4 linked regions of the Elephas maximus indicus genome follow. The protein of the gene in region 3 purifies or fractionates together with the protein of the main gene of each other region. This does not show direct contact. Links are inferred from orthologs where the notes say so. Each region holds a gene or a part of one and is shown on either strand. Other genes may lie near its edges.

What was found.
Region 1: the proteins of RNF146 (region 3) and LIG3 purify together in Homo sapiens (co-immunoprecipitation; 3 studies listed by BioGRID and IntAct, counting the BioPlex papers as one, with this or other methods). This does not show direct contact. The link is inferred for Elephas maximus indicus from reciprocal best matches to the Homo sapiens genes RNF146 and LIG3.
Region 2: the proteins of RNF146 (region 3) and XRCC1 purify together in Homo sapiens (co-immunoprecipitation; 3 studies listed by BioGRID and IntAct, with this or other methods). This does not show direct contact. The link is inferred for Elephas maximus indicus from reciprocal best matches to the Homo sapiens genes RNF146 and XRCC1.
Region 4: the proteins of RNF146 (region 3) and CHD1L purify together in Homo sapiens (co-immunoprecipitation; 3 studies listed by BioGRID and IntAct, counting the BioPlex papers as one, with this or other methods). This does not show direct contact. The link is inferred for Elephas maximus indicus from reciprocal best matches to the Homo sapiens genes RNF146 and CHD1L.

The regions. Positions count from the first base shown.
Region 1 is NC_064837.1:29,849,133-29,855,959, forward strand, and holds the start of LIG3 (DNA ligase 3), read left to right. Parts: upstream 1-3,804; 5' UTR 3,805-3,880; coding exon 3,881-3,966; intron 3,967-5,597; coding exon 5,598-6,151; intron 6,152-6,827. UniProt on the Homo sapiens protein: Isoform 3 functions as a heterodimer with DNA-repair protein XRCC1 in the nucleus and can correct defective DNA strand-break repair and sister chromatid exchange following treatment with ionizing radiation and alkylating agents.
Region 2 is NC_064829.1:106,924,147-106,931,254, reverse strand, and holds the start of XRCC1 (DNA repair protein XRCC1), read right to left. Parts: upstream 3,003-7,108; 5' UTR 2,916-3,002; coding exon 2,865-2,915; intron 2,444-2,864; coding exon 2,351-2,443; intron 2,334-2,350; exon of another isoform or gene 2,128-2,333; intron 1-2,127. Other genes in the region: PINLYP (phospholipase A2 inhibitor and Ly6/PLAUR domain-containing protein), read left to right, coding at 4,051-4,120, 5,218-5,334, 7,023-7,108. UniProt on the Homo sapiens protein: Scaffold protein involved in DNA single-strand break repair by mediating the assembly of DNA break repair protein complexes. Negatively regulates ADP-ribosyltransferase activity of PARP1 during base-excision repair in order to prevent excessive PARP1 activity.
Region 3 is NC_064819.1:195,289,531-195,296,862, reverse strand, and holds the start of RNF146 (E3 ubiquitin-protein ligase RNF146), read right to left. Parts: upstream 3,009-7,332; 5' UTR 2,917-3,008; intron 2,910-2,916; exon of another isoform or gene 2,748-2,909; intron 1-2,747. UniProt on the Homo sapiens protein: E3 ubiquitin-protein ligase that specifically binds poly-ADP-ribosylated (PARsylated) proteins and mediates their ubiquitination and subsequent degradation. May regulate many important biological processes, such as cell survival and DNA damage response.
Region 4 is NC_064821.1:158,965,103-158,972,159, reverse strand, and holds the start of CHD1L (chromodomain-helicase-DNA-binding protein 1-like), read left to right. Parts: upstream 1-4,038; 5' UTR 4,039-4,100; coding exon 4,101-4,233; intron 4,234-4,338; coding exon of another isoform or gene 4,339-4,418; exon of another isoform or gene 4,419-4,482; intron 4,483-7,057. Other genes in the region: FMO5 (flavin-containing monooxygenase 5), read right to left, coding at 4,339-4,418. UniProt on the Homo sapiens protein: ATP-dependent chromatin remodeler that mediates chromatin-remodeling following DNA damage.

The sequences.
Region 1 (6,827 bases), on a different chromosome or scaffold from region 3:
CTGTCCTTGCTATTCTCCCACATTCCGGCTTCTGGGCCCTTATTGATGTGCCCTCCACACTAGATCTTCACGGGGCTCTCTACTTCATTCCCTCAAGTCTTTACTCAGTTGTCACTTTGTCAGTGAGACCTTCCTGACCACTGCACTTAAAACTGCAACCTCCCACCCTCCCGGCACCTCTGCTCCTCCTCTATAGCACCCGTCATCATCTTACACAATTTTCTTTTTCCCAAATAAAAGGTCTTACATATTTACTACTGAACCAACCTGTTAGTGCAAAACCATAAAAACGAAGAAAGAAACCAGGACTTTCCCAATGTAACATGTTCAGTTGTTCAGTTACTGGCAAAATCTTCAGCTTGATATGGTAAGATGCCAGTGAACTTGATAGAGTGTAAATATGTGTACCATCACATATGAGACTCCTTATAGACCCAGCTTGGTTCTTCATTGTCTCCTCTTGCAGTTATATATGATTTTATTACCCGTTTTCATTTGAATCCATTGGGGAATGGGACAATTCTCCCTGTTTCTTGGCCAGGGATCTCTTAGTCCTGAAAGTCTTGTGAGAAGACATGGCAAGATGGAAGTCTGCAATTTACTTTGTTGTTTATTATCTATCTCCCACACAAGCCTGTCAGCTCACAAGGCCAGGGATTTTTGTGTTTTGTTTCACTACTCTATTCCAGCTCCTGGAACAGTGCCTGGCACACAGTAGGCACTCAATAAATAACTTGACTAATGACTAACTGAGTGATTAAGCTCTATGGTGGTATGAACGTATCCAGGCTGGGAAGTGGTGGGAAATGTACATTTACTAAAACACTTCTAAGGGCCACGCAGTTTGCAAGTTAGTATTAGCCATCTCGCTTAGTTGCCACAAGCAATCCTAAAAGTTAATTGTATCACCATTTCACCATGAAAACTGAGATCCTGAGGAGTAAGGAAAATAGACTAAAGTTACTCAGTGGTGGAACACAATTCAAACCTAAGTCTGTGATTTCAAAGCCCTGTTTTTCCCACCATACATTACCTCATTCTCCTTGGTAGCAGTTCCCACGTCAAACAATTGGCCTCAACGAAGAAGGCTTAATACATCCAAAACAAAGCTCATCCTCCTACCTCAAATACTCCCTCCTCCCCTCTCATTTTCTGTTTCAGTTGATGATCTATTATGTACTTGCTCGCTTGAGTCATACTCATTTCATCTTTAGATAAACGAGCATTTACCTAGAAGGCAATTTGGAATCTAAATGTTTCTCAAAAACACATCCTCTCCATCCCGAGTTTCTTCAGGCCACATTCATCTTTTACATGGGTCACTATAAATACATTTTAATTGGTCCTCTTGCTTCAGCCTCCCCAGATTGAGCTTCAACCGTAACTCCTGTTTCCATAAAGCCCTTCATGGCTCCATCATCTACGGAATAAAGGTCAAGTTCTTTATCAAACAACACGTAATTCCCGCCAGGACGTGACCCTTGCTTACTTCTCTAACAATGCTCTATTGTTGCTGTTCCTAAACCCTGAACAAGTTCACTTACCTTCTCTGAGCTACCCTTTTGTAAAAATAGACATCCTAATCCCTCATAAAGTGCTGAAAAGTGATGATGTTACCTTGAAAATTAAGGTGCACCTGACCCAAGCCATGGTGTTTTAAATCACCTAATATGCATGGGAAAGCTGGACCATGAATAAGACCAAACAAGAAATGAGGTGTTGGCGAAGAATACTGAATATACCATGGACTGCCAAAAGAACAAACAAATCTGTCTTGGAAGAAGTACAACCAGAATGCTCCTTAGAAGCAAAGATGGTGAGACTAATCTCACAAACTTTGGACATGTTATCAGGAGGGATCAGTCCCTGGAGAAGGACATCATGCTTGGTAAAGTGGAGGGTCAGTGAAAAAGAGGGAGAACCTCAACGAGATGGACTGACACAGTGACTGCAACAATGGGCTCAAGCATAACCATTGTGAGGATGGCACTGGATTGGGCAGTGTTTCGTTCTATTGTACATAGGATCGCTATCAGTCACTAGATGGCATCCAAGAACAATCTCTCATAGGGTGCCCTGGTGGCTCAGTGGTTAAGCACTGGGCTGCTAACTAAACCGTTCGTGGTTCAAACCCATCCAGCTATTCAGCGGGAGAAAGATGTGGCAGTCTGCTTCATCTAACGATTACAGCCTTGGAAACCCTAAGGGACAGTTCTACTCTGTCCTACAGGGTTGCTGAGTCAGGACTGGATGGCAAGGGGGTAAACTCTCATAAAGCTGAGCTGAGGTTCAAAAGAGATAATGCACTTAAAACTATATATAATATAAAGGACTTTTTCCACATCTCCTTTACACAGTTTCATAACTCCATATACATTACCCGTTAAAAAACCAAACCCGTTGCCATGCAGTGGCTCCCAACTCACACCGACCCTATATAGACAGGGTAGAACTGGCCCATAGAATTTCCCAGGAGCGCCTGGTGGATTACGAACAGCCGTCCTTCCGGTTAGCAGCTGTAGCACTTAACCACTATGCCGCCAAAAACCCTATATATACATTAAAAAAAAAAAAAAAAACCGTTGCTGTCGAGTCTACCGTAGATCTGCCCCATAGGGTTTCTTTCCAAGGAGTGCCTGGTGCATTCGAACTGCCAACCTTTTGGTTAGAAGCATTAGCTCTTAACCATTATGCCACCAGCGTTCCCATATATACATTATGTTTCTTTAATTCAACATTTATTGAATACTTACTACATGCTAGGCATTGTGCGGCACCCAAGGCAGGGGGAATACAGATAAACAGGTTTAATGACAGGATCTTAGCCTTCCCCAAGCTGATTATAATGTAGTTACACAACCAGTATCTTTTAATTGAACTGGATAATCTCCAGCAACGAGAAAATCAGGAGGATCTGTGGAAGTTCGGGTCAGGATGCGCTCCGGGGCGCAACCACATCCCTTCATCTTCGCTCCCTCAGGCCGCAATCACAGACCGGGAACCCCCAAACCCAGACACTAGAGACTCGGGCCCCACGTGACAGAATCTGACCACCACCCACGTGGCAGGCCGGGGGCGGAGACCAGGAGCATAAGTCGGACCTTTGCTTTTGCGCCTGCGTGCTGCCTCCAGCTCAAGGACCCGGATTTAAAGAGACAGGAGCTACAACCGTCGTGGGCTGGCCACGGCCTGTGGGCCCCCGGTCCTTAGGCCTACGGTGTGCGCCGGAGCCGGGAAGGCAGGTGAGGGGCGTCCCAGCGGACCGGGCACTGGGGAGGGGAGAGGGCCAGGTCCCGCACCGCGGCGCGGCCCCGATTCGGCCCCCTCGGCTCCTCCCCCGCCCGCCTGCTGAGCACCGGAGCACACCCTCCGTGACGTGGCCGCCCCCCGGGAGCCGGCGGGGGAGGTTCGCGGCTCTCCAGGACCCCCCACGGGACCCGCGCGAGGGGAGGTACCCGCTTCGTGCCCCCGGGCTTGTGTCTTCTAGGGGCTTTCGTGGGGGGCTTTTCCGACCCCAGGCCTCTCTGCTTGCGTCCCGCGATGAAGTTGGTGCGCCTGGGGAGACTTTGGAAGCCTTTCTCCCTTCCCTCCGCCTGTCTTGGCCCCTTCCCCAGCCCCACGGGCGTGTGCTCCCCGGTCCCTGCCGGCCTGAACCGGAGGGAGTCGGGGTACTGGGGACACGGCGCCCGGGACCCGCCTCCCCGCAGCCAGACCCCCGAGCCCGGGACAGTAGACCCAGCCTGCTCTCCGAGCGTGTCGCGGGCAGGCCCCTGAGGAAAAGCGGCTGCAAGGGTTTCACTCCCAGCTCGGTGCCGCTCCCTTGCCCAGCCGGTGCGGCGTTCAGGCCTTAGCGGTTTCCTCCTCGGGTTCCTTTGAGGAAATGCTGAGCTGCGGCCGTTGGGAGCTGTGGGACCGGCAGACGGGTTCCCTCAAAGCAGCATTGTGCCTTCTCGGGGCCCAGCGCCTGTGAGTCGCTTGTGATGCGGGGGCAGGACGCTGACGCCGGCCCCCTGCACTATTCCCACTGGGGAGGGGCGGTGACTCCGTAGATCGCTCTGCAAAGGGAGATAGCAAATCTACCAGGTGCTGAGCTCCTACTAGGGGCTCGCCACTTTCACACGCCTGGTTCTTCGTTTAGGGAGTTAGAGAGCCCTTTGTGGATCTCGTGAAAGTTACCGACCTTCTCTCCAAAAAAAGTACATTTGCAAATGTACACATTTTGTATACATTTTCAGGAAGTTCAGAAGCCTCCATCAGCCCATCCATGGACTCGTTTTAATTTTCACAACCACCCTGTGAAATAGATATTATCGTCCCTTTCAGAGAAGTTAAGGGATTTCTCAAAGGTAACTTAGTAAGCTGTATGATCAGACTCGGAGTTCCTAGTTGGTGCAAAGGTTTAATATGTATAATGCATGCGCTAGTCTGCTAACTGAAAGGTTGGAGGTTCCAGTCCATCCAGAGGCATCTGTAAGAACGGCTTGGCCATCTGCTTCCCAAAAATCAGCCATTGAAAACCCCACGCAACACAGTTCTGTGACACACGTGGGGTCACCATGATTAGAAGTCAACTCCATGGCACCTGGTAAACTAGACTCCCTAATGCCGAAGCTCGTGTGCTTTCCCCTGCACCATGTTGCCCTACAGTAAAGAGAAGCCTACTTTTTATTGTAATGCAATAGCAGTTTCACTCTGAAGGAGTGTGCAAACTGAAACTAATTTCCAGTATTTTTAAAAGTAGAACTATAAAGATTCTTTAGGAAATCTGAACCATATGTGAAGGTTGGGGATACCATCAGGTATAATCCCTGTTTCCATATGGATTGATAGATCAGCTCCTTTGACTCCTCCTGTCCCATTACTTCAGCATACCTGGATTCAAGTTGCTGAATTATGAACAGGTGTATAATTGCTTAGAGGACAGCGTCTTCCTTATAAGGGGACCTAGCATTTATTGCGCCCCTGCTGCGTGCCCAACTCTGTTCTAAGGACTTAACCCTTGAGATAACCCCTTGAGTTAGGTACTGTTACTAGCCATAGTTTATAAATATGGAAACTAAGAAACCAGAGAGGTTAAGTTAACTTACCAAGATACATAGCTGGTTGAGTTAGAATTTGAACTCAGGCAGTCCAATTCCAGGCTCTGCTAGTTGCCTCTCAAAATAGGGCTTCTGATTAAATCACAAATCTATATAGAGTAGCTTAGTTGTTTTCACAGGATGGCATGTGTGTCACACTTCACATTAAAAACTTCATGAACATTTTTCTTGATGGTGAAAAAGAAACTTCAGGCCCCTGTAACTTTAAGTCTGGAGTACCACGTATTGCTGATGGCCTGGGAAAATGAATAAGCACGTATTTGAGTTGTCTTAATTGTGATTTACCAGATACGCATGTGTGCATTAGATAACTGAACACCTTTTGCAGACTGGATTTCGGTATTAGAACTCTTTTCATCTTATGGAGAGTCAATCTGCAGTACTTGGAGAAGCATTGAATTAGTCAGCATGAAATGTGTATGACTCTAGCCTTTGTGGAAACTGGAAGCCCAGCTTCTCATTTTTATATCTTTCTCTGCCTCTCGTCTTTTCATGCAGCTATATGACTTTGGCTTTCAAGACCCTCTTCCCACAAACTCTCCGTGTACTCAGCCGAAAAGAACCGTGCCTATTCCGAGTGCGACATCACCGGCCTGACGTGAGACAGTTCAGCCAGCGTTCAGAAACAGATCTGATTCCTGGGAGCTGCCTCCTCCTGAGAAAAGAGCCTGTTCTATCATTCCAGCGAGGCAGTCTAAGACCACGTGCCACCTGCCTTGTTTTCTCGCCAGGATCGCATGTGGGACTCTGTAGTGGCTCCAGTGAGATGGCTGAGCAGCGGTTCTGCGTGGACTATGCCAAACGTGGCACAGCTGGCTGCAAAAAATGCAAGGAAAAGATTGTGAAGGGCGTTTGCCGAATTGGCAAAGTGGTGCCCAATCCCTTTTCAGAGTCCGGGGGTGATATGAAAGAGTGGTACCACGTTAAATGCATGTTTGAGAAACTGGAACGGGCCCGGGCCACCACAAAAAAAATCGAGGACCTCACAGAGCTGGAAGGCTGGGAAGAGCTAGAAGATAATGAGAAGGAACAGATAACCCAGCACATTGCAGGTGGGGTGGAGAAAACTGCTTTTTCATCTTACTGGTGCCAAGAGAAAATAGGATAAGGAGAATAGAGTCCAGTTTTTGTTTTTGTTTTTTTTTTTTTGCTTTTTTCAAAACAGTTTATTTGGAGATAATTTCAAACAGAAAAGTCAAAAGAATAAAAATAGTGCAAAAAATCATAGTTCCTTTATCAGATTCACATATTGTTAAGTTTACCCTATTTGCTTTATCATTTGCACTTATGTGCATTGTCTTTCTATCTCCACACACACACACACATTTTTTTCCTGAACCATTTGAGAGTAACTTGCATACGCTGTGGCCCTTTACCTTTAAATGCTTCAATGTGTGTATCATAAGAATAGGAATACAGGCAGTCCTGGGGTTATGAAGGAGGTCCGTTCCTAAATCTAAGTCGACTTAGTAGGTAATACAAAGTTACACACTTAGCACAGTGTTGAGGCAACATGATCCAATTTAAAATGACAGATTGCATTCTCTTTCCTTGAGCTTATGAACTGCTGAAGCCACACAGTGTTTTCATGAGTGTCACAAAGTAGTGCATGCGTTCATTATTACCGACCATTGTATTTAACTCGAGTTTTTAATATACTAGGCTTTACGGCAGTCTGTTGTTAAGTACGCGTTATCCGTAAATCAGACGTTCTTAATCCAGGGATTT
Region 2 (7,108 bases), on a different chromosome or scaffold from region 3:
ATGAAAGCCCCACAAGGCCTGAGATACCTTTCGGCTTGTGCTGTCCGCTGTTCTAAAGCCCAACACCCAAAACAGTGCGTGGTCTATGGTGTCAGTACCAGCTGCCATTGAGTTGATTCCAACTGATGGTCAGAGTGGAACTGTGCTTCATAGGGTTTTCAATGGCTGATTTTTTGGAAGAAGATCGCCAGGCTTTTCTTTTGAGGCACCTCTGGGTAGACTCAAACCTCCAACCTTTTGGTTACCAGCCGAGCACATAAACCTCTTACACCACCCAGGGTCTCCATGTGGCCTATGACCACTTGCCGTCAAGTTGATTCTGACTCTACAGAAGGTGTTTAATAAATACCTATTGAATAAATGCATGAACATATGAATGAACGAATCCATCTACTCCCAGGCCTTCTGGTCCTGTCCCTGTGCTGACAAGTCCCACACCTCTGGCTCTGGCTCCATATCCAATCCCTAACTGTCTCTTGGATGCTGCCCCATGAATGCCCCAAAGTCATATCAAACCTGGATGTCCCAACAAACACATCACCTTCCCAAGCTGCTCTCTCTCTGGGTAACCCATTTCAGCTGCACTCTTGCCCTCAGTCTCCCAGCCAAAGAACCTGGTACCTCATCTGGCTCCTCCTGCTTCCTCACCCTCTACGTCCAGTCTTTTCTGCCTCCAGTCTCCGTGTTTCCACTGCAACATGCAAACTCAAACATGATTTCCCTTGGGGTCACCTGATCATAAGGAAGCCCAGGAGAATCATCACCCAGTAATAATAACATAAATCCCACCCCTTACACAAACACCTGCATGTTGACAGATCACTCTTGCAGACATTATGTCACTGAATTTTCACAACAACCCTGGGCTTAGATCTTATTATTCCTAATGGACAGATAAGAAAACAGGTTCAGAGAAACGAAACATTTGCCTGAGGTCAGAGAGTGAGTAAGAGGGAGAGCATGAATTCAGGTCCCGATAATAAATCCTGAGCAAGCTGTACCTCCCTCAATTTAAAACACTGACTCTTGAGCCAGCTGCATAACTTCTCTGGGCCTTAGTTTCCTCATCTGCAAGATGGAGATAATAATAGACCCTAGGTCACGGGGCTTTTTATAAGAACTCAACAAGTCAATCCATATGAGGTGTTTAGAACGGTGATTGGCAGGTTGTAACATAAATAAATGTTAGTGCTCATTATTATTATGTTAGGGTTTCAGGAAATTTTGTGGGTCTGTGTATTTTTCCTGGGAAGAGAATTCTCAGCTTCTATCGAATTCTCAAAAGGCTCTATGATCCCAAAGTTTTTTTTAGAATCCCTGGTCAATACAGAGACCAAGATTGTTCAGTGTCAAATACAATCATGCAAGCCTTCCCAACATTCCTTCCCAAACACCCCCACATTCAGAACTAAGGAATGTGGCCAAAATCAAGAAAGTGTCTAAACAGAAAGCAGTAAGTACAATCTCAGCCTCAGAAAACCAAGATCACGCAGGTGAAACAGTCGATGCTTAATACACATTTGGCATTCTTCTCCCATCGTTTTCGTATTCCTGACAAGAACATCCTGTGTGGAATTCTGTAACTATCTCAGGTCAAGCTGCTCTCTCCTATTTGCCTCCCTCCAACCTCACAGGAAGTTTTAGTGGTACAAATGGTTAAGTGCCCAACTACTAATTAAAAGGTTGGCAGTTCGAATCTACCCAAAGTTGCCTCAGGAGACAGGCTTGGCCATCTGCTTCTGAAATGTCACAGCCTTGAAAACCCTATGAAGCAATTATACTTTGCACACATGCGGTGGCCGTGAGACAGAATCAATGTGATAGCAAAACATTAACAACATTAATAACCTCACAGGACTGTGGAGTGAATTCAGTGAGAACATGTACAAAAAGTACTCAGAAAAACGCCAGCCAGCACTCCAGAAATGGTAGCTGAGACTGGTCACTTCACTTCCCCTTCCTACACCTCAGTTTCCTCATTGTTAAAAACGGACTTGACTGGCATAAATGATCTTCCTGGACACCTTCCTGCGCTGAGTCCACTGACCTTAGTAGTCAGGATACATGGCAATAATTCACTCTGTTCCCATTGAGGAAAATAAGGCCCGGAATGTGGAAGCAACCTACCAGGGCCACATCCTGATGCCATGGTCATCTCTGGCCTAGTTCTTGGGTCTCTTTTCTTCTATGCTGTGGGGCACAGGGATCACACAACCCATTTTCGGGGTAAGGAAGCTGAGGCCCAGAAGGGAAAGTGACTCAGTGCACTGCCAGCTGACTCAAGAGCTGAGCCTGGACCCTGGGTCTCCAGACTTCTGGTGAGACGAAGGTGGGGAGAGGGCAGGGTCACCTGGAGGACCACAGAGATGGTCTTCTCGCCTGCCTTGGCTGCCCGCCATTTCCGGTAAGTGTCCGCCTTGAGAAGGTTTTCTGCACAGTGGGTCTAGGGACAAGAATGGGAGAGGGTTATGGCACTGAGATGAGAGCTAGGCTCAGCTCTCAGATTATTTCTCCGAATCCTTCCAAGCTCTCTGCGATCCCCCAGATGTAAGTTCCTCTGTTAATCCCCCCACACCCTGCCTTGAGTTTCCTCTACAACCTTCTCCTCTAGAAGTTCACCTCCAGGCTCTCCCGAGAAAGTTCCCCTATTGCTCCTTTTCTCTCCGGAAACTCCACAGACGCCCGGAAGTTCCTCTATCCCACATCTCTCCCAGAGTTCACTTAGACCCTCCTGGAAATTTACCCTTGGCTTTTTTTCTGCTTAGACCTTCCTGAAGTTCCTTGTTACACCCCCAAAGGTTCTTGTAGAGCACCCCTCATTAATCTCCTTACGTCTTCCAACCTCCCCCACGCCGGCCCCTCACCGAGTCCTGGCTGCTGCAGGACACGACATGACGGAGGCGGATCTCCGGCATGTCAAAGTCGTGGCCTTCGCCTGGCCCGAAGGAGGCAAGTGGGCCTGGGTTTGGGGGCGGGGAGGGTGGGGGCGCTCCTCTGCACGGGCTTCAGTACGCAAGCGCGCAAGGCTCGGGCCTTTCAAACTGCGGCGCGCCGGCGCCCGCGTCGACATTGCGCATGCTCAGTTGCGCCTTTAAGGCGCGGAGTGGCGAGGACCCAGCAACAAGCTTTTCTCTAGCCCCGCCTCTCTCTGACCCCACTGCTCTAACCTCTCCTCCCGGTGACGTTTACATCCTGCTTCCTGGGCGCCTAGCAACTGGAGCGGCCTCCGGGATTGGTCCCCAGGAGAAATTCGCCATTCTCATTGGACAATGCGATCACCGCCCAAACTGAAGCCTAAACACAAGACAGCCAACCTGAGTTGGATTTTCGCGGGGAGCCTAATCGGCTCCCTTGGCTACACGCACACACACACGCACACACAGCTTAGAGTACTCCCACCCACGCCTCAGTTCCCCAATGTGACCTGTGAGCATCTGTCTCCTGCCACGCCCACGCTAGCCGCGGACAGGCACCCCTCTGTTCGGTCCGCAACAGACCCAGGCGTGCAGCCCTGGACGGGGTCGGCGCCAGAGAAAGCCCGGACATAAAGAAGGGAGCATGAGCCAAGTGCTAGAAGGAAAAGGGAAGGAGGACAAGTCGCCTGGGTCCTGCAGAACAAGCATGGACATGCTGGGCACTCCCAGGTGGGGCCCCACCCATGCTAGGTGCCTCCTTGGGAAGGTGAGAGGGGATCCCAGTCCTTGTAGCTGCTTCGCACCCACAGGGAATACAGTGACCCCACTCAGACCTTGGGCTTTGAGTAAAGAAGATGTGGGTGTGAAAAATGGGAAAGTGATCTCTTGGGTCCTGATGGAAGAGGGTGCTGGAACCCCAGACTCCCGGGATTCCAGTGGAGGAGGGGGCTGGGCACCAGATGCCTGGATACCTTTTGGATGCTAGTTGCACCTCCCCTACCCGGGGGCTGCAGAGACCTGCCCTGGGCTCAATCTGACCTCAGCTCCTTCTCACCGCAGGTGAAGGTGGGTCTGGACCCGCCCCTCCTCAGCTTCCTATAAGGGCTGGGGACACGGGACTACAGGTTCACACACCATGAGGACCTCTGCTGGACCCAGGGCCTTCCTGCTGACCTTCACGCTGCTCTGCACCCTTCTGGGTCTCGGTGAGTGACTGGGGCCCTGGACTCCTGGGACCCTCAGGAAAGCAGGGACTATAAAAGAACATTCAGCAAATGTCCTCAGGGGGTAAAGTGGGGTACCCAGGGATACAGACTCATGGAGGAGGCAGACACTAACAGAGAGTCTGGGGCCCCAAGGGAAGAAATGCTCATATGACTGGACCCCTGAGAGAGAAGGGGGCTTGATGGGCTCTGAATCCTCTTTCCCTTAGGTAGGGTCCCAAAGCAACACATCCAAATTCTAGAAAATCAGATGAGAGCATGACTAGAAAGGGTTTTTTTGTTTTGTTTTTGTTTTTTTAATTAAGAGAGAGAATATGAATGAGAGAGAGCTCCTTTTTCCCTGGACTCTTAATAACTTCAGGCCCCCTTTTCCCTCAGACCCAAGGGTCCAGCCCCCCAGCCCTCTTCTCCCTCAGACCCAGCATCCCAGGCCCCTCCTTCCTCAGACTCAGGAGTCTGGACACCAGCCCCACTTTCTCCATGACCCAGGTGTCTGGGCCCCCAGCCCCTCCTCTGTCAACACTAAGGGGTCCATGCCCCCAGCCCTCCTGGTCCTCACTCTCCCTCCTTGGACTGGAGGCAAACTCCAGCTTCAGGTACCGCTGCCTGAGCTCCTACTGTTTGCAAGACCTAAGTTGTATCTGCAAGTGGGAGGGCTCCAAACCCTTGAACCAGCTGAACCTGAAACTTCATGAAAGCCTTCAGTACGAACCCTCCCAGCTCTGAGCTTTCTCTGCGGATCCTGTCCTCCAAAGCCCCCAGCCTTGTAATTAGGTAACAGGCTTCACGGTGGAGTCGCTTCCTGCCCTGGGAGCAGCTTTGGTGACATCATCACCGCGTTCCTGTCAGAGTTCTGGACAGGTCCCCGGACACGCAGCAATGTCCCACCCATGAAAAACCAGAGAGACACCAGCCTCTCTCAAGACCCATCAGTCTGGGCCTTGGACCTTCCTCAGGACCAGAAATCCAGTCCCTTCCTCCCTCAAACCCTGCCCCCATCTCCCTCGGGACTCCGAAGTGGGAGTCGTGGCCCACTAATCGCACCGCCCATGACTACAGCCCCGATCTCTACCCTATAGGATGCCCACTAAGCTGTGAGGTGTGCAAGGGCCCTGGGCCCACGTGCAACGGAAAAATGAAGACATGCGAGGATGGCAAGGACGCGTGCGTAGTCGTCGTGGGGGAGTCGAGCACAAGTACGAACGCAGGGCTTTTGCAGGGCTTCTGACCATAGCTAGGGGGCTGGGGGAGAACCTTCAGGGTGGGAAAAAGATACCACCAGGCGGAAGCGGGGCGTGGGGGGGGGCGGTGCGGGAGGGGTCATCCCAGTTCGCAAGCAGGGTGAGGCGTGAGAAGAAATTTGGATGGGGTAGGCAAGAGGAAACAACCATCACAAGGTGGAGGGAGGACAACTGAATGGAGACACAAGCCATTTTTAGATTTTTAAAAAACGAGCAACTCCAAAAGAAGATGGCTATGGGGGAGGGCTTAAAGAGACTTTCTTAGGCGGGAGGGGGTGAGGAAAGGACAAGGAGGAACAGAGAAATACAGTGGAAGAATCTAATAGGCAAGGAGAACGGGAGGGTGATAGAGAAGAAGGAAGAGACTGGGAGAAGGTCCGAGGAACGTGATCAGGGAAGAGACCATTTTGGACAAGAGGGAGGAATCGACCAAAAGATGTCTTGAAGAGACCACCTCAGGGATGTCGGGGAGACCATTTCTGACAGGAGGAGGAGAGATGATGTTGGGGTAGAGGGAGAGAGGGAGAGACCATTCCAGACGGGGGGGGACGATAACTACGAATTATGGAGAAAATCATCCTAAGGGGGGGGACTGGGGACGAAGAATGAAATGGAAGGAAGAGGGGGAGCATGACTTAAATGGAAGAGACCATTCCAGACCTGAGAAAGGCTGAAAGAACACCAATGGAATAGACCACTGGGGGGGGGGGGGATTTTCTTTCAAAGCTGAAAGAGACCATTCCTCACAGGAGGAGAGATGGGGCAAGATGCAGGAGGAGAGGCTGTGACAGGAGATGAGGGGTAACCCTGCGTGTAGGAAGAAACCACCCTGACAGGAAAAGTTGTATAAGAAAGTTGGGCTAGAAGATTGCATGCAGTCCCACCCACGCAGCAAACGTTGGCTGGTGGCAGAAAGGACTTGAAAGGCTTGAGGAGAGCAACCACAGCAGATAGGGGAAGATATAGACCCTGAAGGGGTGTTGAAGGGAGCTGGAGAAAAGTCACCCTTGGGAGTGAGAGAAAGAAGGGAAACCACTGGATTGAGCTGGAAGGAGGGCAGCAAGAGACCATCAAAGGGAGGCCTGGGGATGGACCATGGGGGAGTGTGGAAGAGACCGCCCTAGACAGAGTAGGGGCACAGGTGTTGGGGCGGGAGTGTGCAGTATCCCAGGGTTTGTTGGAAGTGACCCCCCCAGGCGCAGAGGGCGAAAGTTCTGAGGCTGGAAGAGACCACCTCAAGAAGACATGGGGGGTAACCATTAAACGGCCTGAAAAAGCCCACTACAGGCTGGACAGGAGAGAAGGATGGCAGTGGAGTGGTTTGAAAGAGACCATGTCAAGCAGGCACCTGGGGAGTTGGCAATGGAGAGCTGCAGTAGACCCCCAAAGACCTAATGCGGCCTAGGCAATGAGTAGGGAGGGCTTCCTAACATGCCACTCCAAAGTATACCCAGGCGGACCAGGCGTATGGCTTTAGAGGGCTGCAAGAGACCACCCCAGGCAGATAAGGGGGTATAGATTTGGGGCTGGAAGAGATTGTCCCAGGCAGTTGCTGGTGGGGGCGGGTAGGGTTAGAAGAGCCCTCGAGGCTGGGTGTGGCCAAATGCCTTGCCCAGCCCCTTATTCCATCCTCCACCCCACAGAGGGACGTCAGTCGGTGAACACCTACAAGGCCTGCATGAAGTTCAAAGACTGCTACTCCGGCTTTGTGTCCACCACCATGGGCCCC
Region 3 (7,332 bases):
TGTCCTTTCTCCAGGGACTAGTCCCTTCTGGTAAATACATGAGACCAAGTCTCGCATTCTTGCTTCTAAGGAACATTCTGGCTGTACTTCTTACATCTTAAGAGTTCCAAATTGACAGATGTAACTAAATGCCCTAATGTTTCCACTTTTCGCTTTTACTATTATCTCCTATTAAAAATTAGCTTACACAATACGGTGGCCATACTTGGCAACAAGTATTCAGTCAAAACTCATTTTAGCTAAAAGGAGTCTAACACTTCACACTACTCTTATTTTAAAGAATTATTTCCCACATATATATATTATTTCTCTTAAGAAAAATTACTATATGGAAATCTACTACCTTCACAATCTTCATATTCAAGCATTAAAAGTTAAAATTTTCCCCAAATAAAACGTGGGCCTTGAATTTTATCTTAATAAAACATGACATCTGAATGTCAACAAATATTGTCTTTTAATCATACCAAGCACAGAAGTGCCACAGCCTGCAACCATTTTGTAAATAAAAAGGCTTTGCCACTAATTATCTGTGTGACCTTGGTCAAGTCATAATCCTCCATGTCTTAGTTGTTTCACCCTACTCTATAATTCTGTAACTCAAAATGTTCTAATTAACAGGCATTTAACAACAGGTTTTGCTATAATTAACCAAAAAGGTAATATGCCACAAACACTAAACACAATCCATAAATAAGTACAGATATAGCCCAGTGTTAGTAAGATGGCTTCTATACTCACAAAAATTGTTCCTAACTTAGCCTGATTCACCAATTCAGGTTCTTTAGTCACAAACAGAAACTAGCAAAAGTGGAAAAGGCTCAGCAATCTATTGCTAATATTGTCGAAAAAAGCTTTCAAATTCCTGACAATATGTCAGGCGTTTCATGTGAGTATATGGCTAACACATTTATTCTTTAAACAGATGAATGATATGAAACAAAGAAAAAATTTAATTTTATCTTTTTCTTCAAAGTCAAGAAATCATTTTTGGGTCCTTTCAAAAAGTCTGCCCCTTTCTTCCAACGATTCAAGCTGTGGAAACTGAAACAAAACACTTCACTAGTCGATAAATGTCTGCAGAAAGAAAAATCACTTTTTTTTTCCCTTCCTTTTGTCTAACGACTAGCTATTGAGAGAAACAGCTTACCTGATGATTATAATTCTACTAAGTTCTTACCACCCATCGAACAACAAAAACTTTCAAAATGTTTAAGTATCATTATTTCCATTTTGCCCACAACTTACACTGGTCCATTTGAAACATCAATTCTAAATCAAAAGGGCTTAAAAAAGTGCTCCACAATACAATATACAATGACAAAACAAACACACCAAAATCTATTTTTAGAGTGGTATTCACTCTTCCGGTTTTCTCTTTAAAATGTCATTTACTTGACCTATTTTCATGTGTTTTTAGAACACCCAGCCACTCACTACAAACAATATTTGCTGGTCATAAAAACAACAAACCTAACTTTATAAATCCTGTGTTATTTGTGTGGGTTATTTTCTTTATGTCTTCTACATGCCATGTCTTTTAAAAGTCTAAATACAGATTCACTTACTAAAAACAGTCTTAAGTCTCTAATTTCTGTAATTATATACTACTTTCAATGCCCAGTGTTACACTTTACACCCCATTTCAACACCTAAAATGTCAATCATACAAAGTGTTTTCTATCATCTATTAGTTATCTTCTCCTCAGTTCCATACTAATATTAGAAAAATGTTACCTAACAAAATGTGCGTATTTTCAAAACCTGAGCAGCAAGTGCTCACTAAAATGACACTTAGTGAAAAAAAATAAAACCTCTCATTGATAACTGAAGGGGAAAAAAATCCAGTTGCCAGAATGTGTGCATAAACTTACAATCCTGTAGATTTTACCTGTGGAAAGAACTGTTCCATCTCTACACTGTCCAAACATTTCGCAACCTTCCTGGAGAAGCCTTCAGAAAATAAAATAGCGACAACAATGGAGGAAGACCTGTACTCTTTCAGACGGGGTGGGGGGTAGGGATAGAACTCCACACCCAGCAACCAGAAGAACAAAGCAACACTCTGCGCTTTTAGGATGCACTTATGTTTGTAGGCTCAAACGGTACCCTGAGAGATCTCTCAATTTTTCCGATGTTTAATAACAGTCAAAACAAAGATCTAAGAATATGCAGCGGTGGCTCGGGTGGACGAACGGCTGTCTTCATATCCATCCGGGTTCAGGCAAGACCGGGACAGTGGGCAGGAGGAGGAAGAGAGGGAAGAGAAAAAGACAGCAAAGGCACTCGAAAAAGACAAAATACATTCAAATGCGGGGACTGTACACCCAGGCCTCGATATGACACAAGGCCCAAGGTGTTTGACTCCTCACGAGAAACAGGGAGCAGGTAACCCCCAAACCACCGCCTCACCTAAGCTCTAAGGACAAGATCTTCCAGACAGAGGCCTGACACTACCGCCGAGAGGGATGAGAAGGTACCCGGCCACCACCAAAGGCCGCGATGCGGACCGGCGGAAGAGGCTGCGCAGTAATGGCCGCTGCTCTGCTTCTCGCACCCCGACCTAGAACAGCTCCGAGCCGTCGCTCGGGGCAGGGGCTGCAGCGGCCGCGAGCACCACTGAGGCCGTGAGTCTTCCTGCTGCGACAACAGTCACGGCGGAGGCGGCGGGAAGGGTTGAACTCTCCCATCCCGCCTCCGCGCGGACAGCCGGGGCCACGCCGGCCCAAGGGCGTCGATCTACGTACCGGTCCTGACCCCGCCGCCGCCCCTCTCAGGCCCCGAGCGCAGGACAGACACGTAGCGAGTCGCGACCGGCGGTGACACCGCGGGTAGCCCTCCTCTCCCCGAGACAGGATTCTCTGGCAGGGCTAGCCTCCCTCCTGCCCCCCAGGAAGGCTTGGCCCCGACCCCCACCTCTTGGCCACCGCAGCGGACACTTCGCAGTCTTTCCTCTTCGGCCTCCGAGCCCGCAGCGGCCGGGGACGCGCGCGGATGTCACGTGACCTCCCGGCGCGTCCTAGGGGCGGGGCCCCGCGCTGGCGGGGCGGGGCGGGTCTGCGCGGGGCGGAAGGAGCGCTGCACAGCCGGGAGCTTGCGCAGGAGTCCCTGCCGGGCCGTCCCCGCTTCGCTGGTTTCCTACCGTAGCCGAAGCGTTTGTTGGGTGCCGTCCTTCTCCTTCCTCAGACTACCTGCAATTTCGGTTTATATATTGTTTTATAAATATCTTTATATATTGTTTTACTTATGCTTAGGTCCAGGAGGCTCTGAAAGGGAGAGGGAGATTTTGGGTGGACCAGGTGGGACGTATATAGGACCAGCAGGTGGTGCTGCTCAGGAACCCGACTGGGCCATCCGGAAGAAGTCCTTGCGCAGCTAGCTAGCTGGCTGGCTTTCGGTGTGAAGAGCTCTTGATAAAAGTGCTCTTCTGTTTGGTCTCTTTCGAGAAAAAAAAAGAGTCCTTAAGATGTTCGAATTCACCCTCAGAATAGTTGAGCAGTTTAATTAGGGGAAAAAAAAATGGATCTTACTTTCTGTTTGGACTCGTTTTTCCCAACAGAAAAGAACACAGGAAGCTGGAGAAAGAGATTAATCAGCATACCAAAACCAAACCCACGGCCCTCAAGTCAATTCTGAGTCATAGGGACCCTGTAGGACAGAGTAAGACTACCACATGGGGTTTCCAAGGCTGTAAACCTCTGGACGGTGACTGCCAGGATTTTCTCCAGAGGATCAGGTGGTGGGTTCGAACTGCTGGCCTCTGTTAGAAGCTGAGGACTTAACAACTGTATAACCAGGGCTCTTTAATTACCATGCAGAGCTATAATTTAAAAATTGGGTGTTTTTTTTTTTTTGTAGCGTGTGTGTAATTTTAAACATAAAAAAACTTGGCAGTATTATGCATTTTATTTTAGCATGTGCTTTACTTTTTTTCATAACTGACTAAATTGTTTTAATTTGTAGAAAATGCGGAGTGTGGAAGGGAATGCTTTGTATAGTAACAGTACATATTTCAACATTCCATGGCAGTAGTATTGCATTTTGAGGTTTCATTATTTTTTTCAGGCTTGGAAATTTTCAGTGTCCTTGTGTTTTTTTTGTTTTTTTGTGTTACCTAGTGGAAACCCCAGGTTCTTGTTCAGGATAACTCGTATTGGCCTTGGTGGGAGAACAGGAAAGACACCTTTATTTTGTTGTACAAATAAAAGTAGTCAGTCAGAGCCCTTGCTGCCAAGCCTACTGCCCGAGGGTGAGCAGGCAAGTTATTTTTAAGGAGTTTACAAGTAGGGAGTTCATGTAAGTTATGTCAGCAACATTCTTAATCATACTACCCCGGCACAATAGGGTTTACAGATAAGCTCCAAGCAAAAGCAGAATTCAAATGCAAAGCCTGTGGGGGAGGAGCCAGCAAAGGAAACAGGGTTTTTAATGCAACACTGTGAGGGTTCTGTCTCACTTGTATCTATAGATCTGTGTACATTATCTTTTATTTCTCTGAATTCATATTCATCAATATGTAATCAGTCTCTTCAAGAGTTCTATCTATTCCTTTGATGTTTACTCATTAAGAAGTACTCTTTTTCTTATAAGTGTAGAATATGAACATGTAGGTCCTCCACCTGGAAGTTTAGTTTCATATCTTCATTCTTTCCTTAGCCATTCAATTTTACTCCTCTATCCTACACTTTTTTTTTTATCCTACACAACCTGTGAACAGATAATAGCAAAAAAATCCAATATATAGCTTATAGATTTAAGCTTAAAGACATAATAGTAATATTAACTTACAGTGTGCCAGGCTTTGTTTTAAGTGGTTTTGTAAAAATGGTGTGGCGGGGGCATCTGACCTCCTCTAACTTCACAAGGGGGAAGAAGAATCATAATCAACATCAACAGCCCAAGACTGTTTGCTCTGAGGTGGAGGTCAGACATGCCTCCTCTCTCCAATCTTTTTACCAATTCTAACACCAACCGTCCCTTCTATGACACTCTACTTCCCTGCTGAGCTCAATAATTCATTGCAAAAACTCACAGACAATGCTCACAAATATGGGCTCTATCAGGGAAGTAATAGGTTACAATTCAGGGTACAGTTCTTCAATCAGGGCAGCCTCTTCTCACCCATGCCCTTATGAGACAGAGCCCCCACAGTGCTGTGTTAAAAATCCTGCCTTCTTTGCTTGGCTTCCTTCCCCACAGTGTTGCATTAAAAATCCTGTTTCTTTTGCTGGGCTTCCTCTCCCTCAGCTTTGCATTGGAATCCTGCTTTTGCTTGGAGACTATATGTAAACCCCATTGTGTCTGCATAGTATGATTAAGAACGTTGCTGACATAACTTATGTGAACTCCCTACTTGCAAACCCCTTAAAAGTAACTTGCCTGGCCTCCCTTGGCGAGCAGTCTTGGCAGCAGCAGCTCTGACTTTTCTTTATACAATAAAGGTGCCTTTTCTGTACTCCCACAGCAGTCTCTTGTTTATTGGCCGATACGAGTCATGCCGAGCAAGAACCTGGGTTTTCCACCCAGTAACATTTCTGATGAGCCAGCCAGGAGCCATCTGTTCCGTTCTTGAGGTGAATCAGACAACATACCACCCCAGTGTCTGGCACCACCAGGAGATTTCTTCTGTAGACTTTGGGGCAGCTCTGAAGGCCAGTCCACCTGGGACCCAAAAGATGGCTCTGTGGAAGACATGAAATGCACCTGAGTTGTTTTATAAGTACCTAGGCTTTTTTTTTTAGGCAAGATGAGTCGGAATTGACTGGACAGCAGCGAGTTTGGTTTTTGGTTCAAGGTAAGGCCTTAGAAGAGTCCCAAGAAGCGGGGGAAATTGACCATTGAAGGCATTAGGAATCTGAACTTATTTAGTAAATAACCAGGTAATTCCTAGTAAGGCCTTAGAAGAGTCCCAAGAAGTTTGAGGAATTGACCGCCGAGGGCATAAAAGGCTCAGGTACCTGTTAAGTTGGTGCACTGGATTAGGTTGTGTGAGTCTTAAGTGTGTATATCCAAAGAATGGGGAATGTTCAAAGATCCCAGAATGTGGCCTGCTAAGATGCATCCTTAAGAACTGGGAACAGAGACTTGGACAGACATGGCCCTGGCAGCATTTCCCTTTGCTTGTCCCTTTCCTACTTTTGCCTCTTTAAATATACTCTGAATAAAACCTTTCTTTTTGCTTTACTAAACTTTGTGGTGTCCTCACCCTACAAGAGTTAATGGTGTAGTTGTTGCAGGGATTCTAAAACCATGAATCCAGTCAACCTCAAGGAGACCTGGACTGTGGAGCAGAAGCCAGCAAAAAAGAAAAAGAGGTCCTATCTCTTGGACCCACGTGTTCGCACTCTATGTCCCTTTGACACTGACAGGGGGAGTGCCCTCGAAAAAGAGTCTTCACTTATTCTTTTTGTTCTCTTTTTCATGTTTTTTTAAGCTTTGTTTGGCACATTTGTTTTGAGAGCCAGTTGTTTGATTAAGGAGAATCTTTCTTAGGTTTTTTGCTTGATCATTTGGTTAAGAATGATGTTCAGTAACTCATTTGGTGAACTGCAGTTTTGTGTCTGGATTCAGGCATATGAAACATTAAAGAGACAATTCTATTTCCAAAGAGCTCTGGGTCACTCACTATAAGCTGCAAATTTTGGGCACAGGTCAACCAGCAAAAGCCATTAGGGTGGTCACCAGCACTCATCACAAGCGTTAAAGACTCCTGTGACAGGATAACGTGGTGTGAGATAGGCTAGAGTACTAGAGAAAACCTGGGTAACAGTTCTGTTTTGCCAAATTCTCAGAGAGAAGTAGTAGTTCAGACCTGTTTTATGATATAGTTTCTCAATAAAAAATCACAATGTTAAAGTCATCAGTAGCTACTTTAAAATACTTGCCAATTAAAGAAACTAATTTCCAAAACCTTTTAGGTAATTTAAGGTCTAAAATAAGAGACTAGGTCTCTAGTCAACAAAATGAATTGAGTCAAAAAAAAAAAAAGAACCAAAAGCTTGAACGTTAGAGCTTGACATTTTTGATAAATGAGCCTGAATTTCCCCCACTACTGAGACACTGGTTTAGGGGTCATATTTAAAAACACTATAAATATACTAAAAACAATTTAGAATTTTAGTGGACACTTTGAAAAAATGAGCTTTGCATTTGTGTTGTTTTGTCTTTTCCTTTTGGGGGAACTTTTGCTTATTGTTCAATTTTTGTCAAAAGTTCTAATATTCCTCCATCTGAGGCTCTGGCGGAAACCCTGGTGGCATAGTGATTAAAAGCTAGAGCTACTAACTGGAAGATTAGCAGTTTAAATCTACCAGGTGCTCCTTGGAAACCCTA
Region 4 (7,057 bases), on a different chromosome or scaffold from region 3:
TACTCATGAAGATCAAAGACCACAGCCTTCAGTATGGATTATATCTCAACATAAAGAAAACAAAAATCCTCATAACTGGACCAATAAGCAACATCATGATAAATGGAGAAAAGATCGAAGTTGTCAAGGATTTCATTTTACTTGAGTCCACAATCAATGCTCATGGAAGCAGCATTCAAGAAATCAAATGACGTATTGCATCAGGCAAATCTGCTGCAAAAGACCTCTTTAAAGTGTTAAAAAGAAAAGATGTTACTTTGAGAACTAAGGTGCACCTAACCCAAGCCATGGTATTTTCAATCACATTATATGCATGCAAAAGCTGGACAATGAATAAGGACAACTGAAGAATTGATGCCTCGGAATTATAGTGTTGGTGAAGAATACTGAATATACCAAAGACTGCCAGAAGAACAAGAAACCTGTCTTGGAAGCAGTGCAGACAGAATGCTCTTTAGAACTGAGGATAATGAAACTTCATCTCACATACTTTGGACATGTTATCAGGAGGGACCAGTCCTTGGAGAAGAACATCATGCTTGGTAATATAGAGGGTTAGTGAAAAAGAGGAAGACCTTCAAGGAGATGGATTGACACAGTGACTACAACAATAGGCTGAAACATAGCAGTGATTGTGAGGATGGTGTAAGACTGGGAGTGTTTTGTTCTATTGTACGTAGGATTTTTATGAGCCAGAATCAACTTGAGGGCGCCCAACAACACCAACAACAATCTGATGCACTGGACTGGCAATGTTTCACCCTCTTATATATAAGGTCCCCAAGAGAAATAGCTGACTTGATGGCAACTAACAACAACAATTTGATGGTGAGGCAGACAGTCAAAAGACATTTTATTAAAAGAGGAAAACAAACTCTGACTGGCCAAACAAAAGACCTGGGGGCAAACTTTCATGCATGGCTGCCAGTTTACAACCTCTAGACTATGTCCACAAAGATTTCCTTAATAATATTCTAGTGTTGTGCTCTTGCCTTTGGTGTTAAAGGAGAGTGCCAATTTTCTAAACTGACTGGCCCACAGTCCCATAAAGCAGACTTACTTTGTTGCTTTACTTAAATGTGCCCTCTTTTTAGTATATTTTCTAAGTTTTAAATTTATGATGTGTTATTTGATGCCAAAGATGTATAATTACAGCAAAAGTAAAAATACAGGTTTTCCTTTCTTGGGAGTTGAGAAATCCAAGTCTCCTTCATCCCTGTCCAGTGTTTTTTTCACTCTAAGGCACCTGGGTCCCGAGGTCTAAGTCCACATACTTAAGAAGAGGTCTGTATAAAATTTCACCTGTGGTCACAGTTTTTACCTAAGTTCCACATCTGACTCATTAGCTGCTGCCAGTTGGTATCTTGTTGTTACCCAACAGGGTAAGGACATAATGGATAGCAAACACAACCTGTTCACTAATTTTTGCTGGATCATGATTGTTTTTGTAGGGTTGGCAAATGCTAAGGTCCACCAATGACCTTTAATCTTGGTTACCTTTAATCTTGTTTGGCTGCTGTTGCCCGAGGACATAACTCTCTCTAAAAAGGAATAAAATGTAGAATCAATATGAATGCCATGACTTCATAACCTAAGTAAAAAATGAATGAAAAAAAGAGTGGGTGCTAGACTTTTGTCATGGATTGAATTATGTCCTCCCCAAAATGTGTGTATCAATTTGGTTAGGCCATGATTCCCAGTATTGAGTAGTTGTCCTCCATTTTGTGCTTGTAATTTTATGTTAAAAGGATCAGGGTGGGATTGTAACACCACCCTTACTCAGGTCACCTCCCTGATCCAATGTAAAGACAGTTTCCCTGGGGTGTGGCCTACACCACCTTTTATCAAGCGATAAAAGGAAAGGGAAGGAAGCAGAGAGTTGGAGACCTTATACCCCCAAGAAAGCAGCACCAGGAGCAGAGCATGTCCTTTGGACCCGGGGTCCTTGTGCCTGAGAAGTTCCTTGTCCAGGGGAAAATTGAAGACAAGGACCTTCCTCCAGAGCCAACAGAGAGAGAAAGCCTTCCCCTGGAGCTGACGCACTGATTTTGGACTTTTAGCCTACTTTACTGTGAGAAAATAAACTTTTCTTTGTTAAAGCCATCCATATGTGGTATTCCTGTCACAACAGCACTAGATGACTAGGACAACTTTATTCTGACGGTTAACATTGACTCACTAGAAAACATTAGACAAGCTGCCTAAATTTTCTGTGCATTCGTTTGCTCATCTGTGAAATGTCATCTCTGTACCTGAGAGTTACGACAGTCATAGGTTTTGGATTTTTAGAATTGCCCCATAGGCACTCCATTCAAACATTTAACAATGCTTTTTGAGGGCATACTATGTGTGAGGCATTGTTCCAGGTGCAAATTCAGCATGTCCTAAAAGTGCATGCTGAAATTCATTGCAGGAAACAATGACAGCATTTGTGATTTTAATTTACTACTGTTTTAGGGTTTCCTAACTTTGGCCATAGAGCTAACAGGTAATAAGTAAGGATATTTCAGGACATAAACCAAGTTATTACTAGTGTAAAGAGAACTCAACATGCCGTCCTTTACAATCTTGCTGTGAGTCGCTGGAGGGCAGGGGTGATGCGTTATTGAATTGTATAACCCCAGAACCCAGCAGAGTACCTGGTACCTGACAGTCAATGCTGATTAAATAAGTGAACGACCCGACCCCCTGATAAGCATTTCAGGCAACCATGTCTTGAAAAAGCACACGAGTGAGAACCCAGCGGCTCTAAGGAGGACCAGCACTTTGTGGCATCACTGGGGGGGGGGGGGTGGTGGAGGGGGGCAGTGCGGACTGCATCTGGTGACACCGTCAGAGGGGGTGGCAGTGTGCGAGGCAGCGTGCGAGGCAGCGTGCGAGGCAGCGTGCGAGGCAGCGTGCGGGCGGCGCTGGGGCTCCGTGTCCTGTCACAGGTGTAGACCGAAAATGCGGACACATGCAGGTGCCAGTCTGCAAGCAGGAGCCGAGTTCCGCAAGCCAGCCTGGGCCCTTTTCGCCGTCCCCTCCCCGTCCAACAGCGCACCCGCGGAGCCCCCGCCAGGCCTTGGAGCGCTGGCTTGGCGGCTGATCTCCCTCCACCCAACGACCTGCGAAAGACTGAACTTTTAAGACTCTTCTCCCCCGCTAGCGTGACTGTGCCAGGGCCCGCGCTGGGCCCGGGAATTGGGCGGCCTTTCACATGCAACTCCTGGGCACTGCAGCCCGTACCAGGTGGAGCGGGACGGGCCAAGTGACCTCTGCTCCTGGAGGGACGCGCTGTGTCCCAGGGCCCTTCCTGGCCGCCCTGAGGCCTTCTCTCTAACCCTTTCCGTTGCCACCCGGAGCTAGCCGCGCAGCCCCAGTGGCTGCCCGATTTCTCTGCCCCGCCAAAGAGCAAGCAAGCCTGTGCGCCAAAACGGAACCTAGAAGGCCAGTGGGTCTGGGTAGAGGTATCCCTACGTTGCAGCATGCCTAAAGTGGCCCTAGAGGAGGCGCCCAGCCGCTAGTGAGCGCTCAGCGGGATTGCGTGTCTGCCATCCATTCCCACTCCTCGGTCCGGGAACGCGAACTCCAGTCAGCCGCCCGGGTTCTGGAGGCCGGGGCCAGTCCGCCAGCGCCTCTGGCCTTCTGGTCCCCGTGACCGCGGGGCTGGGGTCGCTGCGCTTCTTACCAGAGCCGGGACTCCGTAATCCGAGGGAAGGAAGTGATCACCCAGCAGCCCCGCTTCTGCCTGAGGTCCTGTTGGCTTGCAGACTGGGGGAGGCATTTGCATGTCCCGGGAATTACGATTTATGGGTAACATTAAGACAAAAAACATTATTAAGGATTCTGTACAGCATAGTACTGGCGGAGGTTCATATGCGGAGGGAAATCGATCCCAATTTTAGTGACCCCCCTGCCAGCGCTACAAGAATTCCTGAATGAATCGGTAGGGTAACCAGAGCGCCGCATGCCCAACTCTGGTCCGAAAAGCCGCGTAGGACGCGCCCTCTGGCGGCGGCTGCGCTCCATCCGCTCAGCGCCGGCAAGTGGCCTGGGGCCTGAGCGCGTAAGGAAGCAAAAGCGCGCAGGGCCGCGCGGGCGGGGCCTCTCCAGGCCGGATGGAGCGCGCGGGCGCCGCGACCCGCCAGTGCAACATGCCGGACTTCCTGGTGGCTCTTCAGACTAAGTACAGAGCCGAGGGTACCCGGGCGCGGGTGGACGAGCACGACCTAAGGCTGTGGGGTCTGACAGGTCAGTGGGCCCGGCGAACTTCCGCCCAGATGGGCCAACTCCTAGGGACTCGCCGTGCCAGTCCTGTGGCGCCTGGAGTTCACCGCGTCCGTTGGGCTTATTTACCTGCTGGACCCAGCGTCTTCCCTTTCAGCCCTAGGGATGGGGTGCGCGGAGTGGAAACTGTGCCTGTGACGGGTGGCCATTTCCCGCTCCCGTTTTGCGTGTAGGGCCCAAGGGCTGGAATGAATGAGGACCGGGCGAAGGAGCGAGGCCTGTACCAGGGAGACAGGCCGGTGGGAGGGTAACTGCGTAAAGCCAGCGCAAAGTGCAGGCCTCTTGAAAAGAAGAGGACGCTCTGGCTCCCCAAGGGTGTGAAAGTCTCTTTTGCGTGGGCCTTTTCCTTGGCTGCTTCTCTAACTATCAGAACTCGTCTTCCAGTGGCAGTTCGCGTTCTTCGTTTACTGTGCATGCGCAGTTCTTTGATTAATTCTCCCCTAGTGCCATATTTTTTTTTTAGTGCCATATTTTGAAATGTGCAGCTAAGGGATGTTTGGCTGCTCATCACCGCACATAACAGTCTATTTTATTGATACTAGTCTTTCCCCAGAGTCCTCGATCCGCGAAACTTGCATTACCCCCCGAGGTCTGCTGATTAGTGTCTGGTCGTATTTCCTGCATGGAGAGACTCAGACTCTATTCCCAGAACTGCACTTGATTCGTCACTTAACCTCTCCGAACCTTTTCTTTATTTATAAAATAAGAAAAACAGCACGTGCCTTATCTGTATGACAGAATCGTGGGTCGACAATAATCAATACGTGGTGGGGGTCGTTTATTCATTATGGAGTGTGGCAGAGAGCCACATACTAATAAGGTACAGAGATGAGCGTACATATTTTGGGTACAAAGATGAGCAAAACAAATATGGGCCCTGGTCTCTTAGAGTGCTGAATGAGAGTGCTTTCAAAAGTATAAACACGTATTTATTGAATTTCATACCTTGTGCTAAATATCACAAAAGCGTGAAGTTTTTGTTATTCTTGAAATGAAACAAAAGATGCAGCTCTATACCCACCTTAGAAGAGGGATGGATAAAGAAGAGTGGATAGGGTCCAGACAAGAAAAGATCTCTCCCTTCTTGTGTCTCTGAGTCTGTAAGAATGTGTATCTCTGTCCCGTAAGGAGTGTGTATCCATCTGTGAGCATTTATGGACAGATGTTTATATGTTTGACGTATCTTGCCTTAAGTTTATACTTTTGTGTTTGCTTATTCCCTTGCAAGTGCTTTGGGATATGATTCTTTGAGAGCATGTGTTACTGAGAGCTAGGAAATGTGTACACATTGATAATAAACTGTGGATTATAACCAGAAAAAATGTACACATGGAAGTGATAATGAGAAGATAGACGAGGCAGCAAGTCTGAGTGAATAGGATAGAATGGGTGAATGAAGTAAATAGGCATATGTGGAAAAGGATAAACTGGAGAAAAAGAAAAATGGAAAACAGGTGTAGTCAAAAGAATAACCGTTAAAAATTATGACTTAAAATTCCTATTTCTATTTGCCAAATAAATATTCCGAGAATTTACTCCTTGTTTGTTAAATAACTTACTGATTTTTTTTTTCTTTCTGACTGCAAAAGTAGTATATGTTCTCTTTAGAACAGTTAAGGGAATATCATACACATAAAGAAAAGATGTTTAATCTTCACAATCCAATTACTGTTGTCTTCATGAAGTCACTGGACCAACACTCCAATTTGATATTTAAACCAATAAAATTTATGGAAGGAGTGAACTGCGGGAGAGCATTCATTCAGCGTGGCTGTAAGGGTATGCTCTGCCTTACAGACAAAACAAAGAAATATTTAACAAGTAGAGTGAGTACAGATAACAACTTCACATCAAAGTAATGGCAGGAGAGGAGGTGAGATTTACAAAGGTGGCAGTTAACTGTGAAACTTCTTTACATTGGTTTCTAGTCTAACACAAATCTCTCATACTTGATACAATTTAACTGGGTCACTATTTCTTAAATGAAAAGTATAAACAATTTTTTTAAATTGAACTTTAGATGACGGTTTACAGAACAAACTAGTTTCTCATCAAATAGTACACACATTGTTGTATGACATTGGTTAACAACCCCACGACATATCAACACTCACCCTTCTCAATCCTGGGTTCCCTATTACCAGCTTTCCTGTTCCCTCCTGCCTTCCAGTCCCTGTCCCAGGGCTGGTGTGCCCCTTTAGTCTTGTTTTGTTTTCCATGGGCCTGCTCAATCCTTGGCTGAAGGGTGAACCTCAGGAGTGTCCTCATTACTGAGCTGAAGGGGTGTCCAGGGGCCATACTCTCAGGGTTTCTCCAGTCTCTGCCAGGCCAGCAAGTCTGGTTTTTCTTTTTGAGTTAGAATTTTGTTCTACATTTTTCTCCAGCTCTGTCCAGGACCCTCTATTGTGATCATTGTCAGAGCAGTCAGTGGTGGTAGCCGAGCACCATCTAGTTGTACAGTCTGGTGGAGGCTGTGGTAGATGTGGTCCATTAGACCTTCTGACTAATCTTTCCCTTATATCTTTAGTTTTCTTCATTCTTCCTTGCTCCTGAAGGGGTGAGACCAGTAGAGTATCCTAGATGGCCGCTCACAGGCTTTTAAGACCCCAGATGCTACTCACCAAAGTAGAATGTAGAACATTTTCTTTATAAACTCTGTTATGCCAGTTGAGCTAGACGTTCCCTGAGACCATGGTCCCCACAGCCCTCAACCCTGCAGTTTGGTCCCTCAGGGAGTTTGGATGTGTCTAGTTAGCTACTATGACCTTGCCTTGTACAGGTTGTGCTG